Struthio camelus: one gene and its partner. The protein of the gene in region 1 binds, or shares a complex with, the protein of each later gene. Links are inferred from orthologs where the notes say so. Each region holds a gene or a part of one and is shown in the gene's direction. Other genes may lie near its edges.

Region 1 (7,678 bases):
GCAGGAATGAGGATGCACTTCTCTGTTCAGCATTTCCTACTAGCTATCTTATGCAAGTCTAATGATGTGTATTAGCTGCCACAAATTTCATTTAAAGTGCCAAAATCTACAGTGCTGTGTAGTGTAGGCTGACATCAATAGGTCCTGGCCCTTGACCCAAACCAAACTGGGCCCTTCCATGCTGTTTTGTTTTGGCTTTAGTGCTCATGAAGCTGTGAGAGGATCCAACTGAAAACGTCTTCCCCTACTCCCTTTTCTTTCGTGGGATGTTTTCAGTCAAATGAGTTCCCCAGTCTGGCTGACAGCACAGTTGCATAATCTCTAGTTTTAACCTAGTGGAGGTGGCAGAGTTATTCCACTTGGTGGATGTAGTGTCTTTGATCACTTTAGATAGACTTTGAAAGCACAAACTAATGCTTGCAAAAAGTTGTACAAGAAGCTTAGATACCTTTTTTTAGCAGTGTGGATTCAATTTCAGTAGCAAGGTAGATACCTTGCTTTCTTCAGCCTTCTATGAGGCTCACTGCAGACAACGCTTTATTAGTACACACTAAACAGCAGGATCCTGGACCTGGAGTGCCGAGAGCTGTATTCCGCTACTGAATTCATGTACGAGACTTGGGGATCAGCACATATAGTTACACTGATGATATACATCCCTTCCATTTGTATCATTCCAGTCAGTCTAAAACAGAACAACTCAGTGCTCTTCCCTTTGCCAATTTTTTTTAAGACACCTGAAACTGAAATTACACTGAAGTTGTCAATAGAAGATGAATCTAATAAAAATAACTAGAAAACTATTAAAAATGAGGGCATAATGAAAAACTACATTTCCCAGAACTCACTAGGAAAGGTCTTCTGGCCAGGGCCAACTACCCTTGCCTTTGCAAAGGACTAGCACGTCTCAGAAACTTGCTGCTCAAGTTCGAGGTCTTTATCATGCTTATGTTACTTTATCTTCCAATTAAAGAGTTTCCAAGACTGTATAGATATTACTCTTTTTCTGCTTGTTATACTTTATTCCTACACTTTACAATGCTTTTAGAAAAAAAACTATCCATAGCTTCACTGGTAATGAGGAAAGTATTTTCTTTCTTCCCTCATCCTTTAGCTTTATAGACAGTAACAGTGATGCCTTTTGTTCATTAGCAAAAGAAGCCTTTCCGGATCTCTGCAACAATCAATGAATATCAGCATCAACTGTAAATGGTGAGTAATTAGCCAGGCTTAGGAAATGAAGAATTAGAGGTGGGCTCCAGCTGCAAAATATTGATTTTTTTTTTTTTTTCCAACAGTATAGAGTTCCATCAATGCTGTGATATAATTCATTATGGGTAATGGCTGCAAGTGGTCAAATGGATAAGGAAATATAGTTACTCGAATAGATGAGTCCTATTTCCCTAAGTGGTAACCAAACGTAAGCAAACAATCCTTAGATAGTTTTCAAAAAGTCTCAAATTCTTTCTTTTGACGTTGAAGGACTTTATTATATTTTTGTCAAAAAATAATGCTGATACTTTCAATATGTTGCCACTTATCCAAGTGGATTGAAATGCTTTTATTAAGCAAAAATTCTAAATTTAACTATGGTGCAAAAAGCCCCAGCATTTTGGGGGAGGGGGGGCGGGGAGGGGGAAAGAAAATTCTGATAATATTGGGAAGTACTAGAGTGTCACAAAAAGAGCTCTTTAAATGATTTTTTTTTAAAGTAAAATCTTTAGAGTTAAAAAAAAAAAAAAAGCCTAGTTGTACCAATTCATCTTTTGGAATATCAGAAAGTTACTTTACTGAAAAAAGGCAAGATAAGGAAGCGATTCAGTAGCATTTGCAAAAGTAGATATTAAAGTTGTGCAACTTGGGCAATGCAGTTGTGCAGGTAAAGAAAATGGCAAGGCCCAAACCTACCTGCTTATGCATGGACCCTGCTTAGGAAGGCTCACTGTCTTCCATGCTGTTTCACACAAGCAGACATTTGCCTTGTGAAACCACATGTGGCCCCAGGTAGAATTTAAAGCAGCATACAGTAAAGGACAATGCCACATCTCCTCAAAGAAAAGCTGCTTTGGGTAGATGTTAGTGTGAGATGTGGTATGTTACATGGTGAAATGGATGTAGGAAAGGGATATATAAATGGATGCATAAAAAGGACATGCCTTATATCTGAACTATTTCAACATGCTCCAAGAGATACAACTGGATACAAAAGAATAAATAAAGCTGGAAAGGAATCCACAAACATTTTAATGCATTTTGTAATACTCCATTGTGTCTGTGCGCACACAAAATGTTATTCACCCTGCTAGTAAAACCCTTGTTATAGCTACTAGATACACTACATATAGCTACGTATAGCTACACTAGAAAGAGCAAGCCTTAAAACCAAAACAAACTGCTTCTCTACTAACTTTGTCCTGCTCTATTTTGCAATCACTTTCTTTTGCGTTGTTTCTTAGCAGAAGAATCATTGTGTCAGTAGACACAATGCAGTAGATTCACTGCACTAGAGGTCATGTCGCTGACTTGTTATGTTATACTGGTATTGTTTGGAATAACTTGTATTTTTATATGATTGCAACTTCTAGAAAACTGGCACAACACAAAAATTTTGACTGAACAGGTTAAAGATGCACAATCATATTTTGAGTATCAGTGTTTTCTCCAGTTATTAATATAACTCAATAAAAAAAGCTGCAAACAATAAGAAGTGGCAGGAATAGAACTTGAAAATGATTCCCTGTAAGTATATAGCTTGACCAAAATACTTTTGTTAATATCCTGTTAATATAAAGGGGACTCACGTAATGTGGGAATTACTAGGGTATGAAAAAGACACTAGCTTTTTCTGGTGATGGTGATTACTGTTTACCTGCTAGAACTAGCACGCTCCGCTACAGTGATGAATGTTTGTTCGGCGGACTCACAGAGCTGTGGTGCAGTGCGAGAGTTGCTTCCAGCTCCTCGTTTGTGCCTTCTGACGAGGGTGGGTTCAAACTTTCACCTCAGTTGAAGCGCCTTGTGAAGCTGAACCTGTGGTTAGAGGTATGCCCTTAGCACACAAAATTAAGTATTTCTGGCCTATGAGGCAAAAAACATTCATCTTTTCAGTCCCATGGAACCCAAAGAACGTCATTCTACGTTCCTCCAAACCACGAGGACTTAACACACAAGATGGAAGTAGTTTTGGACGTACAGTGCTGCAACAGCAGTAAGTTCACCACACTACACAGAGAATATCTAATTAGGATTAGTCTCTAAATTAGACTCTTCAGAGGAGCGTAAACTAAAAATGGGATCCTGCTAAGCTGACTTGTGCATTGCAACAAATCCAGTTGCAGGAACTGGTCCTAATGCTTCCGCCTCCCCCACTCCCTCCCCTCTCCAGGAGATAAATACTGCAACAGTATCTTACTCATAGGCTGTTTCTGTAACAGCCGTCACTTAAATATCTATGTACCTAATGGACTTAGCCCTAACGCCACAGTGAGGGAGGGAAGCAGCATTAACCTCATTTTGCAGATAAACAGTGGAGGCCCTGATGGCTCTCTGCTGTCTTACATCTTATGGAGTAATCGCACGCGTGCCAAGTGAGTGTAAAAATGCTGTTGCACCAGATTGCAGTATTCACAGAGAGACTGACAGACCTTTGGCGTGCCCTCTGCACCTTTCATAGTATGACTATGAGGACAAAGGAGGTTTAGGAGATGGCTAAATTATCATTGATTTCTCAGCTACTGATTGCTCCACTCAGCCTGGGAAGACATGGGGCCTAGAACAGTGCCAGTGAACTATTCAACAGCAGGTAAGCTCGCTGTTGAACTGCGGCAATACAAGTCTCGCGTTCTCTGTCACTACCGCTTAGGATGGCATAGGGGCCTGCGCAAAGAAAAAAAAAATAGCGTGACGAATGTCATAAGAAATCAACTTTCTTCTTCTTCTTCTCCTAGTAAGACTGAAAACGCCAATATTCTGCGTGTCTGGTCCGAACCGAAGGCAAAAAGACTTAATTTTCTGGACTAAATATAAACATCGGCTGTGGAATGGGAGCTAGCCAACCACCCGGCGAGCAGGCCGTCAGGGCCTCGCTCTCCACAAACGAGCAGGGCCCACCTGTTAACGGCCCACAACAACTTCTACCCTAACGATTTCTGTGGCCGCTCCAACCGACGCTGAGCCGACGGCCCTGGCGAGAGGCGCCGCGCTTTGCCTGGTGACCGGGCAAGGCTTCCGCCGGCTCGGTTTCGAAACCGCAGGGCGTGAGGCGGCCCAGCCGGGAAACCGGACCCCGGCCGCTCCTCGCTTATGTAAGCGAGAGCCCAGCGCCTCCCGCCGGCCCGGCCTCGCTGAAGGCTCCGGCTGCCGCCCGCCAGGCCGCTCCGCAACGCTGCTTCCGGCTCTCTGCCGGCGGGGCCGGGGGCGCCCGCGGCGGCAGCCGGCCGCTGTTTGGGGACTGTGTACGGCGCTCCCCGGCAACGCGCCCCGCCCCGCCCCGAGCGCGGCCGTTGGTGACGGAGCCGAGCTCGCGCGCGCGGCCGGCGGCCAACGGTCCGTGCGCGGCGCGGGGCCGCGCGCTGACGTCACGGGCGGCTGCGAGGGGCGGGGCGGCGCCTCCTCCCCCCAGGCGTGATGTAACCTGTGCCCTGCTCGGCGGGCGGCAGCCGCGCGGTCCGGCGGCCGTTGAGCAGCGCGCGGGCGGAGCGGAGCGGAGCGGCAGGAGGCGGCGAGGCGCCCGGCGGTGGTAGCGGCGGTGAGCGCTCCGCGGCGGCGGCGGGGACGCATCCGGGGCGGGGGGAGGGGCGGGCGGGCTGGCTGGGCCAGACGATCGCGGCTGCCGGTGGAAACATGGTGTCACACGTGAGGCTTATGTAAAATGAGCGGCGTCCGGCGCGGCCAATCAGCGAGGCTGGCGCGCCGCCCCCGCCCCCTTCCCCGGGTGCCGTCACGCGGCGACGGCCAATAGCCGGCCGGGCGGGGCGGGCTCTCCGGCCTCAGTCACGTTTCAGCCTGTATGAAGTCGGTGCCGGGCTGCGCCGGGCCGGGTGGACGCGGGGCGCTCGGTGAGTCGGGCTCCCTCGCCGCGCCCCGGCCGGGGCCGGCGGGCCGGGGGAGGGGGGTCCCGCGGCGGTGGCGGCGGGGAGGAGGGGAGGGGGCGTCGGCGTGAGGACGGGGACGGGGGCTCGCCTCCCCTCCCCCTCCCGCCGGGCTGGCGTTACGTAAGTCCCCGCGGTTCTCCGGTTGCCCGGGGAGACGGGCCGGGCCGGGCCGGGGGCTCCCGGCGGGAGCGGGGCGGCGCGGCGCGGTGGGTCCCCGCCTGCCGCTCTCCTCGGGGCTCGCGGGCCGAGGGGAGGGGGTGGCCGTGACCCCCCCCCCCACCTCCCCGGACGATCCCCTCAGGCGGCGGGCGCGAGGGGCGGCCGGGACGCCGCCCCCTGCGGGCGGGCGGGGGTGCCCGGAGGCGGTGTCCCGCCCTCTCCTCCCCCCTTTCCCCCCCCCCGGCCGGCGGCGGCGCCGCCCGCCCGGGACCGGCCCCCACCGGGCTCCGCTGTGGCGTCGCCGGCGCGCGCGGAGCGTGGGGTGGGAGCCGGGACAGGCTCGGCCCGGTGGGCGTTCGCCGCCCCTCGGCACTCCGTCGCTTGCCTCTCGACGAAGCAGCGCCCTGTGCAGTTGCCTCGGTGGTCTTTTGTTTATTTTTTCCCCCCCTACCTGAGGAGCTATACGGCAGTAGCAGAAACGGAGTGTGCTCTTGAAACGTATGGAATAAGCAACTGGTACCGTGTGTATGTGGTTGGCTTTTTTTTTTTTTTTTTCCTCCAAATGTTCCCTATAATACCTGCAAGCAGACTTTGTTCCTTGAGACCGTGTGGTTTGCTACTGTTGACATTAGTTGCATGCTATTACATGCATGATTGCAAAACAGTTTATGTAAGTACAGTTTCATGCAAACAGATGAGCTGTATGATAACTGTCAAGCTGACGCTACTCAACTGACTTTGTGATGGGTTAGGATGGGGTGCATCATTATTCTTCTTGCCCCAAGAGCTTAAAAAGCCCCCCAAAGAGGTCATTATGAGGTCTTTGGTACTTGGAAACTGAAGGCCTTTGAAACTGTATTCCTGTGATTCCCAATAACTTGTCTGATACAGCGCATAGGATGGATTTTGAAGAAATGTGTTGGTTTTTTTAAGGCTATGAGATGCCTGCCTTTTTTTTTCTTTTTTATAAGACTCTGAGGTTTGCGATCTTGTACATCTGACTTGCTGAATATCTACCATTTAAAAATATTTATGAATAATGGGGAAATGGTGGAAATCTTGTAATGACTCTGGCAGTAAAGTTGTCTGGTCAAGTCAAGAGTAGTACCAGAAACTGCTTTAGTACAGTGAGAAGCTGTTTCAAATTGCCAGTATTGTTTTAAGCACAGAGATTGTTTATGGATGACAGAAGTTAGTTAACATTTCTCAAAACTACAGATACCTTTTGGAGCTGGCTTTTGCTTGTTGCCAAAGTAATATCCAAAAGGAACCGCTAAGGTAGCAGTGAGGCATATCTACTTAAATGCAAATAGTTAGTTTGGAATATGTAGTGGTGATGATAAAACTGAAGCACCTCAGACTCATGGCAACCGAGGATTTGATCCTGTCGCCCTAGTCCAGAAACCGATACTATTTTGTATTAGATGGCTTTTGGGCATTGACTTTGATGAAACTCATCTTCTGTCATCTTCTAGGGTGCCTCAGTGTCTGTATGCGTCTGTGATCCGTGTCCACTATGCCTTGGGCATAGTGCTGTTTGTACACTTTATGGAGTGGCTCTTGAATACAAAGAGTAGGGCCCAGAATTTGACTCAGGTCAGGGAGAAGGGCCCACATTATTGCTCTGTGACATCAACTTCCATCTTGCTTCTGTTTGTGTGTGTTTGCATGCTCTTGTGATCTTTTTTTGCCTGTTCTTGCAGAAACTGGTACTATTTCTGCGCAGTGAGGACATTTTACTGGAGAACTGGACAGTGTCCTCCATTCATCCAAGGTTTGCTGTTAGCCTGGTGGTTATGACACTGTCCTGAGGTGTGGGGTTCTTGTTCTTGACTGTTGCTGGACTGAGGGAGGCAGTTTATCCTCCTAGAAAGAGATAATGCAAAAGATGGAGCCTTTGGCCCAGAGTGAAAGAAAAAAAAAGTCATGTTTCTGTCTCTTTTTTTTTTTTTTTTTTTTTTGACTATTTCATGCAAGTGTCTACTTCAAGGTAGAAGGGAGAATGCTTTGGATCTGACCATAGGGAAGTTAGAGAAGGGCAACTAAAATGATCAACGGTTGAAGCCATGCGAGAAGAAATTGAAAAGGTATTTTGAGAGGAGACGGCTGAGGATGTACGTGACTGAGATTTACAAAAGTCACAAAGGCAGTTTTTAAGCTGAGTTGCAAAAACTGTCGTTCACCCAATTCAGCAGTATTAGAACTAAGGGCGCTCAGTTTAACTAAGTACTGCATGAAATGGATAGAAGGAAGTACTACTTCACACAGCAGGTGGTGAACTGCTAGAGCTTATTGTCACAGGAGTGTATGGAGCCAGATGATACCAGCAGGTTCGAAAAGAGAATAGACAAGTTTATGGACTACAGTAAACGGGCACTAAAGGGAGTAGGCAGGGATGAACCCCATAACATCTCTAATGTAACAAC
Region 2 (7,899 bases), on another chromosome or scaffold:
CTCCGCCTCGACCCCAAGGTGTCCCGCAGTGTCCTGCCCCTCTCCGCCGTCTTCATCGGCATGATCACCTCCAACAACCTCTGCCTCAAGTACGTCGGCGTGGCCTTCTACAACGTGGGGCGCTCGCTCACCACCGTCTTCAACGTGCTGCTCTCCTACCTGCTCCTCAAGCAGACCACGTCGCTCTATGCCCTGCTGGCCTGCGGTGCCATTATAGGTGAGCAGGGCCGGGAGGGCACCTGGCTGCGTCGCGTTGGGGCCCCGCGGGCACCTGTGTGGTGTGGACCCACCATGCAAGCAGTGCTGCGGCCTCGGAGAGCTGGAGCAGGGTTTCCCCTGAGGCTGGGCAGGTGACTGGAGCGAGGCCTGATTAACAGGGTTTTGGGGTCCTGGTGTCTCATTCTGTTGGTTGTAGCACACTGTTGTATTGCTTCGTCTTGTGGGGTGAACCCTGTTTGCTCTCTGGCTGTTGTCACTGGCATCTCAAGTCTCCAGCCGCTCAGGGGTATGTATCCCTGCAAAGCAGGGAGTGCTAAACTCCCACAGGCCTAATGAGAGCTTCCTGTCCTTTATTTGCAGATGTTGTGCCGCACCCCTTGGTGGGAGGCAAAGCCATAAGTGAGTGGTGATCCTGCAGGGCACTTGGGCTTGGTAGTGCTGTTCTGGCCTTATGCTCAGACCTAAATACTGAGCTGACTCCCCTAAATACTGAGCTAGGCAAAACTGTCCTTCCCTTTGATAGTCTCCTGCCATGTACACAGCTGCTCCCTGATGAGATAGTGTAACTTTAGAGCTCTCTTCTTTGCTCTGCCGTGGACAATTTGCTTGCATGTTGAGAACATGTAAGGAACAGCCCGTATGAGGAAATAACTCTTTTCTGACTGTTGTTTTTTTCCCTTCCCTTTGAGCACTAAGCAACTGTCAGCTCTTCTCCACTGAAGTTTAACTTACCTTAACGTGCTATTATTTTTTCACAGAGGCCTTAAAATGACTGGTTGTTTTCTCCTTACTTTCAAATGATTCTGGCATTATTAGCTTTGATAACAATAATAGTGTTTAATAACTAAACAGTATTGTGACCATACAATGGAGCCTGTCATTTCAGACAGGCTGAATGCATATGATGAAGGGTTAGCTAATCAGTCAAGCCTACTGCACAACCAGAGCTTCTGATGTTTGAAGGCAGTAGGCTTTAAGGGCACGGCTTATGAGTCTTCCATTCCAAAGGCATCAGTAATGCCAAAAGCAACCTTCCACTTGATGGCCATTCAGATGCCAAGGATAGTGAATTTCTTATTTTAGTCCATTTCCAGGTGGATATGTGTTTGCTCCAGTGCTTAGACAAGCAGATGGATTTGAAGTAAAATGAGTTAGGAGACCCTCTTCCCCACAGAAGGGGTGAACAGGAGGGCCTATCTGACAAACAGGTACTTATTTTTTTGCAAGTGATGCAATTGGCTTCAGTGTTCCTTCAGTAGCTGATCTCCCCGTTACGGTTTTCTTATGAGCTGGATGAGGGGAAGTCTCCCTCTGCCCTGTGGAGACAGAGTCTGTAGTTCCTGTTTCAGAGGTGGTTAAAGAATGCACCGACTTTCAAAGTTCAACATGGTAAAGACATTGCACTCGGTTTCTGTCTAGTGATCTTTTTTGCTAAAGCTTTTTAGTGTTACAGCCACGTGTTTTACAGTCTTTCCTTCTTCTGATTTCTCTTTTTTTTTTTTCTTCCTATAACAGTGCAGCAAGCCCAGGTGGGTTGTGGGGCCTGCTTCCCCCTCACCCCCCTGTGGCAAGAGAGGAATATTTCTTGCTCCCTGTGTGTCCCATTCACTTCCTTGTCAATAAAAAAATGACATGATCTCCTTCTGAAAGTGATCTGTACACAAAGAATATCTTTAACTTTAGTTCGTGACTTTTTGGAATAATTCTAAACTCCTGCTGCCTAATTGCTGTAGATTCTTGAAGATTGAATGATTGTGCAGTAAAACATCTGTGCTCTTAAAAACAAACAAACAAAAAGCACCCTTCCAGAACACTAGTCATGACACACTGTAGATTTGCATAATAGAAAGATGAAGCCCTTAAGCCTGTCTCTGCTTGTGGTTGTGGTTTTTTTCCTTTTCCAGTGTAAGGTAGATGATAAATCATTGACCATATGTGTTTTGAGTCCTTCACTGGTTGTTCAGATTGTTCCTGATTTGTTTGGTTGCAGGTGGCTTCTGGCTGGGTGTTGACCAGGAAGGAGCAGAGGGCACTCTGTCATGGGCTGGTATATTCTTTGGGATCTTAGCAAGCCTGTGCGTCTCACTCAATGCCATCTACACCAAGAAGGTGCTGCCTGTGGTGGATGGTAGCATCTGGCGCCTGACCTTCTACAACAATGTGAATGCTTGTGTCCTGTTCCTCCCCCTCATGATGCTGCTGGGCGAGTTCCGCACTCTCTACCACTTTGACAAGTTGGGGAGCCCCAGTTTTTGGGGCATGATGACGCTGGGTGGAGTGTTTGGCTTTGCCATTGGGTATGTGACTGGACTCCAGATCAAGTTCACTAGCCCGCTCACCCACAATGTCTCTGGGACAGCCAAGGCCTGTGCCCAAACAGTGCTGGCTGTTGTCTATTTTGAGGAGACAAAGAGCTTCCTGTGGTGGATGAGTAACTTGATGGTTCTGGGGGGCTCATTTGCCTATACCTGGGTGAAAGGGCTGGAGATGAGGAAGGTACAAGAGGAACCTACTCTCAGAAGCAGTGAAAAAAGTGAGACTGGTGTGTAGGCAGCTCTAGCCTGCACCTCTGCTTCTGTGCCTGGGGAGCTAACCTTCAATGCAAAAGGAGCTGGGAGCAGGAAGAAGTTGACCTGCGAAGTGTATGAGAAGTTGTGTCAGGAACCAGAGCCAAAGGCCTGTCTGGACTGTATTTTATTCACTGAATCTCACCCTGTCTCTGAGTTGGGAAAGCATGGCTTAGAAAGACTGATCGGTTACAGTGATTTCTTTTTAAAACGCATGTTTCTGTTCACCTAATCTGGACAACTTGCTTCTCTGGAGGTTGGAGGTACAGTGGACAAAGAACAGGATGAGAGCTGTGTGTATATGGTGATAGAGAATGACAGCAAACTGAATTAACATAGTCTGAAATGATGAAATCCTGAACCTTCATGAAAGGAAGAAGCAGGTAGCCAGACTGTCGGGGACAGTCTCCAGTGAAGTGTTCCCCTATAGTAGAATTGGCAGGAGTAATTCTTCCCATTACTCACCTTAAAGCAAAGGACTGGAACCTTCCTCCCTTCTAGTTCTGTACAAGTCTAAGCAGAAGCAGTGCCTCTAAATCTCATGTCCAAAGAGCCAGCATCTCTTCCTGTTGAGGTCTCTTGTGGCTATGTTTCTGTACATCAGGTTTCTTAGTTCAAGAAACTGTCCAAGAGGCAGGGCCAAACTTCTAATTCCCTCTCTACCTTCTTCTGCAGAGGGAGAGCATGTTGTCTTAAATGGTGTGCCTTTGTTGAAGAGGAGCAAGGTGTCTTCCTATTTCAGGATTAGAAAGGAGGAGGGGGGAAAACTTGTGTAGGGTGGAGATCCCAGGACAGAGTTCACATTTGTCCTCTTTCCCCTCTGTGTAGGGGAGAGGTTTGTGTCTGACAACTGTGTTGTTACTAATTAGGCCAGTTTCGGGGGACTTGTGCCATGCCTCCTGTTGATCCCCCTCTGGTGTTTGTGGTTTGTCTTTTGGCTTGTTCCTTGTAACTTTTTTCCTCCTTTTCCCCCACGTCTGGTTCAGTCAATCCTTTGCCAACCCCCCACTTCCCCTCCCCCCCCCCCCCAGATCTGCCCAGCTGCAACAATCACTTTAAATTGGAACTTGCATTTAGGCTTCCTCTGAACAGTGGCAATCCTGCAGAACTCTTCACCCCATCTGGTCTTGTGCCAGTGCCATCTGAGGCTACTCTAAAGCCATGATTTCTAATCCTTATAAGCAATGACATGCTGTAATAAGTTGTCATGCTGTATTGTATACTGTATCAGCTTTCTAAACTCTGGGCCCCTTAATTCAAAGGGTTATATGAATAGGGATTTTGGGCAGTTGGTGCGACTGCTTTGTAGCATGGCTGGGTGGACCCTATGTGATGTCTGACCACTGCTACAGAAACGCTAGGACACTTATTTCTGTCCTGAGCGTGTTTCTTTCTGGTTTCAGGGGTCCCTGCTCAACACTTCTTGACTACGTTTACCACCTTGGTGGATGCCTCCTCTCATTCTTTTTTTGGTGGTGGAGGGTGGGCTTTTTGGTCCTCGAGGTTTTTCTATCAGAACAGACTTTTTTTTAAAAAAAATGATGCAAATACTGACTTGTAATTGTCAAACCTGTTGAATAAAAATGGATTGGTATCTTGGTCTGTCTGACTGAAGAGCTATTCAGCACCTGGCCAAGGGAATAGTGCCTCCTGGAGCAAGGAACGAGGAAACGGAACAAGGAGATTGCAAGCGCGGGTGGCTTCAGATGTCAAATTTGCTTAAGACGTTAAGGAACAAATAAGGTACCCCTCTCTTCCTGCGTGTGTGCTGGGGAGGGCTTCGATTGGACTCGGCTGGCTGCTGACTTGACTCGCTTAAGCCAGCGCAGCTTCTCCGCGTCCCCGAGCGCCCGAGGCGGGCTCTGCCTGCGCTAGGTGGGCCGGGGGAGGAGCTGCCCCTGCCCGGGGGGGGCTGACGGACCGCGCCCGGCGGTGGGGGGCGGCGGGGACTGCGGCCCGGGGGAGGGGGGAGCAGCAACCCCGGGTTGCTGCCGCGTCGCGGCCGCTGGGGGGCGGCCGAGCGCGGCGCCGGGGCCTCGGCGCCCCTTGACGGTGCGGCCCCGCCCTCCGCCGCGTCCTGCCCGTGGCGGGGGCGGCGGCGGCGGCGGCAGCAGCAGCAGCAGTGATGGCGGCTGCGGCCCCGGTCCCGGCGGCGGCGCGCGGCCCGTGCCGCTCCGTGCACTGGTTCCGCCGCGGGCTGCGGCTCCACGACAACCCGGCGCTGCAGGCGGCGCTGCGGGACGCCGTGGCCGTGCGCTGCATCTATATCCTGGACCCCTGGTTCGCCGCCTCCTCCGCCGTGGGCATCAACCGCTGGCGGTGAGCGGGCCTGTCGCGACACGGGGGGCCGGGCCCGCAGCTCCGGCGGGCGGTAACGGGGGCGCGCGGCGGGGAGCGGCGCCCGCGCCGGCAGCGGGAGGGGCGCGCAGGCCCCCGGCGGGCTGTGCTCCGGTTACCGGGGCTGCGCGGCTGCCGAACGCGCCGGGGGCCCGAAGCGGCCTGCCCGCCCGACGGGCCCTTGCGGACGGCACGGCAGGCAGAAGCGGCCTTCGCCTGCTGCTGCCCTGCTGGCGCCGGGCTCGCGTGCGGGAAGCACAGCGGCGCGCCAAAGGCTTGGCGCGTCCCTGCTGCGTGTAGTCCTTGCTTCCCTCCCTCCGCGATGCTGGTGGAAAAGCAGTTAGCGGTCTTATTGGTGTTGCAGTCATGAAATATGCAAGCGTGTGTATATATGTCTATATATATATATTTTTTAAGTGTCTTCTTGGAGGTGTATGCTTTTTGCAAATAGCATCAGAAGCTAGCACCCCTGGCTGTTAGGCAAAAATGTGCTGGGTAAATACGTTAGTTATATTTACTGGAGCTCCGTTGTTTCCCAGAGGAGCCTTGGCTTTGTTTTGCTATTTTTTTTAATTCTGCAATTGGTATTCAGAGGTCTGAGCTCCAAAGGCAAGTGTTTGTGTTTTACCTAACTTCCAGAAATTTATCGTGTTGAAAAATTACCTGTCGCTTAACCGCATAGCATATGGGTGAGCTAAATAATAGCAACGCTTGCTCAATTTCCAGAGCACTGTGGAGAGAAAGGCAGTATTGCTATTTAACAGATGAATACTGAGTGGGGGGTAGGGGAGTGGTTTGTTTTGATTACCCAGACCTGGTTCTGGGTCTTCACTACTGTGCTGCTTCCTTGAAACCTTAGTCCCTTTCTCCTTCAGGAAGTGCAGAGAGAGCTTTGTCTGTCACAAAGCTTGCAATTCACGTTATGAGCAACGCAGCTGAGCAGAGAGGAAGTACCCAGACTGCAAGACAACTGTAGCTTAGTTTTCCTCTTAACTTTGCATGGTCTTGAGTTGGTACTGCAGATACTCCTGTCTTACAGGTCAGGCTGCAGAGCCAGTATGTAGGGGAGAGGGAGAGGTTGCAGACTCCCTTAGGAAGGGTTCTGGATTTGCACGCACTGCCGCATGCTCTTGCAGAGATTAAAGTTCAGTTAAGGCTGGCATCATTCATAGTTTTGGGCAAAACAAAGGAAGCCAAGTGATGATGCAGATAGAGTTACGCTGGTATACTGTGAAAGCAAAGACGATATATTTGAAGTCGTACGGCATGGTGTGGGATCAGGAAGACATATTGTTAATAAAGTACTTAAATGCTTTTTGACAGCTTTGGGCTAGTAGGGAGCAGATAAATATCTTAGCGTGCTCTCATCTGCGTGATGGAAGATAAATTGCCGTTCTGTTTGCAACTGTTCTCTAAGTATGGCTGCCATGTGGAGAGACCCGCTGACGGGGGGGGTATCAGCTCTGAGAGAAAACACAGGAAGGGTAGGGACTGCAAGAAGAAAATCCTGGAGAGCTCTCTCATTTGGCTAAGCAGAACATGCATGTGAATGGTTGGGGACTGGCTGGTGCTGCAAAGTCTTAACAGTTAGTAGACAGACCAGGGATGAAGAATAACTTTTATTTTCTACATTTCTTGTCCTTTACCTTTTGTTTGGAGAACTGATTGGTGGTGCAGGTTAATTGGATTTCCATGTAAATCCTGCTCATTTGTCTTTTAGCGGTAACCAATCTGACCGACATGAACTGCTCTTGTTTCTTCTCTGCAGGTTTCTACTCCAGTCCCTGGAAGACCTGGACAACAGTTTAAGGAAACTCAGTTCCCGCTTGTTTGTGGTACGAGGGCAGCCAACAGATGTCTTCCCAAGACTCTTTAAAGTAAGAGAATATACTGATTTTATGGAGCATAGTCAGGCAAAACAAATGTCCCACTTTATATGGTATTCTTGTTTTCACTCCCTAGTATCTGGTAGTTCTTGGAGGTCCCCTAGCTTCTCTTTAACTTCGCTACTATCCGTAATGGCCAGCTTAGGAGCCAGATACGCTCTTCCCCTCAGATTTCCACAGAAGTTCAGTAGTAGGGAGTAACCTACTATCAGGATGCTTGAACTTTACTTTTGGGACAGTGGCCTTTGCCTTTGTTTCTGCAAGTCAGGTTCCCTGGGTTGTGCTGTAACCCACCGGTTCCCCTGTATTGAGAGTTTCTTCTCTACTGGAAATTTTTTGTGTTCGGCTTCTACTCAGGAAGACTGCCAGGTCTATACACCTTTACAGACGTCTGAGAAAGCATACTGTTCTACATGTGAGCTGCAAATAAGGCTTTCTGTTATAATTTGAAAATTCAGAAGCTTTTATGTTATCTGTTCTTCCTTTCCTGCTTCCATTCAAGACCTGCAGGGGGTTTTTGTCATTGTTTTGTTTTATTTTGTTGCTGTTCAGTCAGCTCAGTAGCAGAATGTAGCTTGGGTCCAAGTATCTTGAAGATCTACCCTTTAGGACTGTGGAATATGCCGTGACTTCAGGGCCAAAGATGGATTAGTGGGATACGTTTCTGAAGTGATAGATCAATGCTGCAGACTGGGAGAGAGAGGGCTGGCAGGAGGATCTCCTTGAATATCAAGATTCCTCAAGCAGTAAAAGTCTCTGACTCATTCCTCTCTGACCTGTTCTATTATGTTCATTGTTGTCTTTGAAGCTTTCTGACAGCCCCTTCACTAGAGTGACAAAGCTAAATGAGAGATTATGGTTCACCATACCCTTATGAGTTGAATTTGTTG

The links.
Region 2: the proteins of PER2 (region 1) and CRY2 are in contact, whole or in part, in a crystal structure (PDB 4U8H), measured with the Mus musculus proteins. The link is inferred for Struthio camelus from reciprocal best matches to the Homo sapiens genes PER2 and CRY2. Residues at the interface, in NP_035196.2 of Mus musculus: Tyr1132, Leu1134, Gln1135, Asp1136, Pro1137, Trp1139, Leu1140, Met1142, Ala1143, Asn1144, Thr1145, Ile1149, Met1150, Met1151, Thr1152, Tyr1153, Gln1154, Leu1155, Arg1158, Asp1159, Leu1160, Val1163, Leu1164, Asp1167, Gln1168, Lys1170, Leu1171, Leu1174, Gln1175, Ser1177; in NP_034093.1 of Mus musculus: Trp58, Ser63, Ser64, Val65, Lys163, Leu166, Thr167, Lys169, Arg170, Glu215, Leu216, Gly217, Phe218, Asn330, Pro331, Ile332, Cys333, Ile334, Gln335, Ile336, Pro337, Asp339, Asn341, Pro342, Glu343, Leu345, Ala346, Lys347, Ala349, Glu350.

Annotation. Positions count from the first base shown.
Region 1 is NC_090950.1:9,392,282-9,399,959, reverse strand, and holds the start of PER2 (period circadian protein homolog 2), read left to right. Parts: upstream 1-4,619; 5' UTR 4,620-4,747; intron 4,748-4,966; exon of another isoform or gene 4,967-5,057; intron 5,058-7,678. UniProt on the Homo sapiens protein: Transcriptional repressor which forms a core component of the circadian clock.
Region 2 is NC_090946.1:40,414,404-40,422,302, reverse strand, and holds the start of CRY2 (cryptochrome-2), read left to right. Parts: upstream 1-4,854; 5' UTR 4,855-4,911; coding exon 4,912-5,105; intron 5,106-6,891; coding exon 6,892-7,000; intron 7,001-7,899. Other genes in the region: SLC35C1 (GDP-fucose transporter 1), read left to right, coding at 1-217, 2,210-2,769. UniProt on the Homo sapiens protein: Transcriptional repressor which forms a core component of the circadian clock.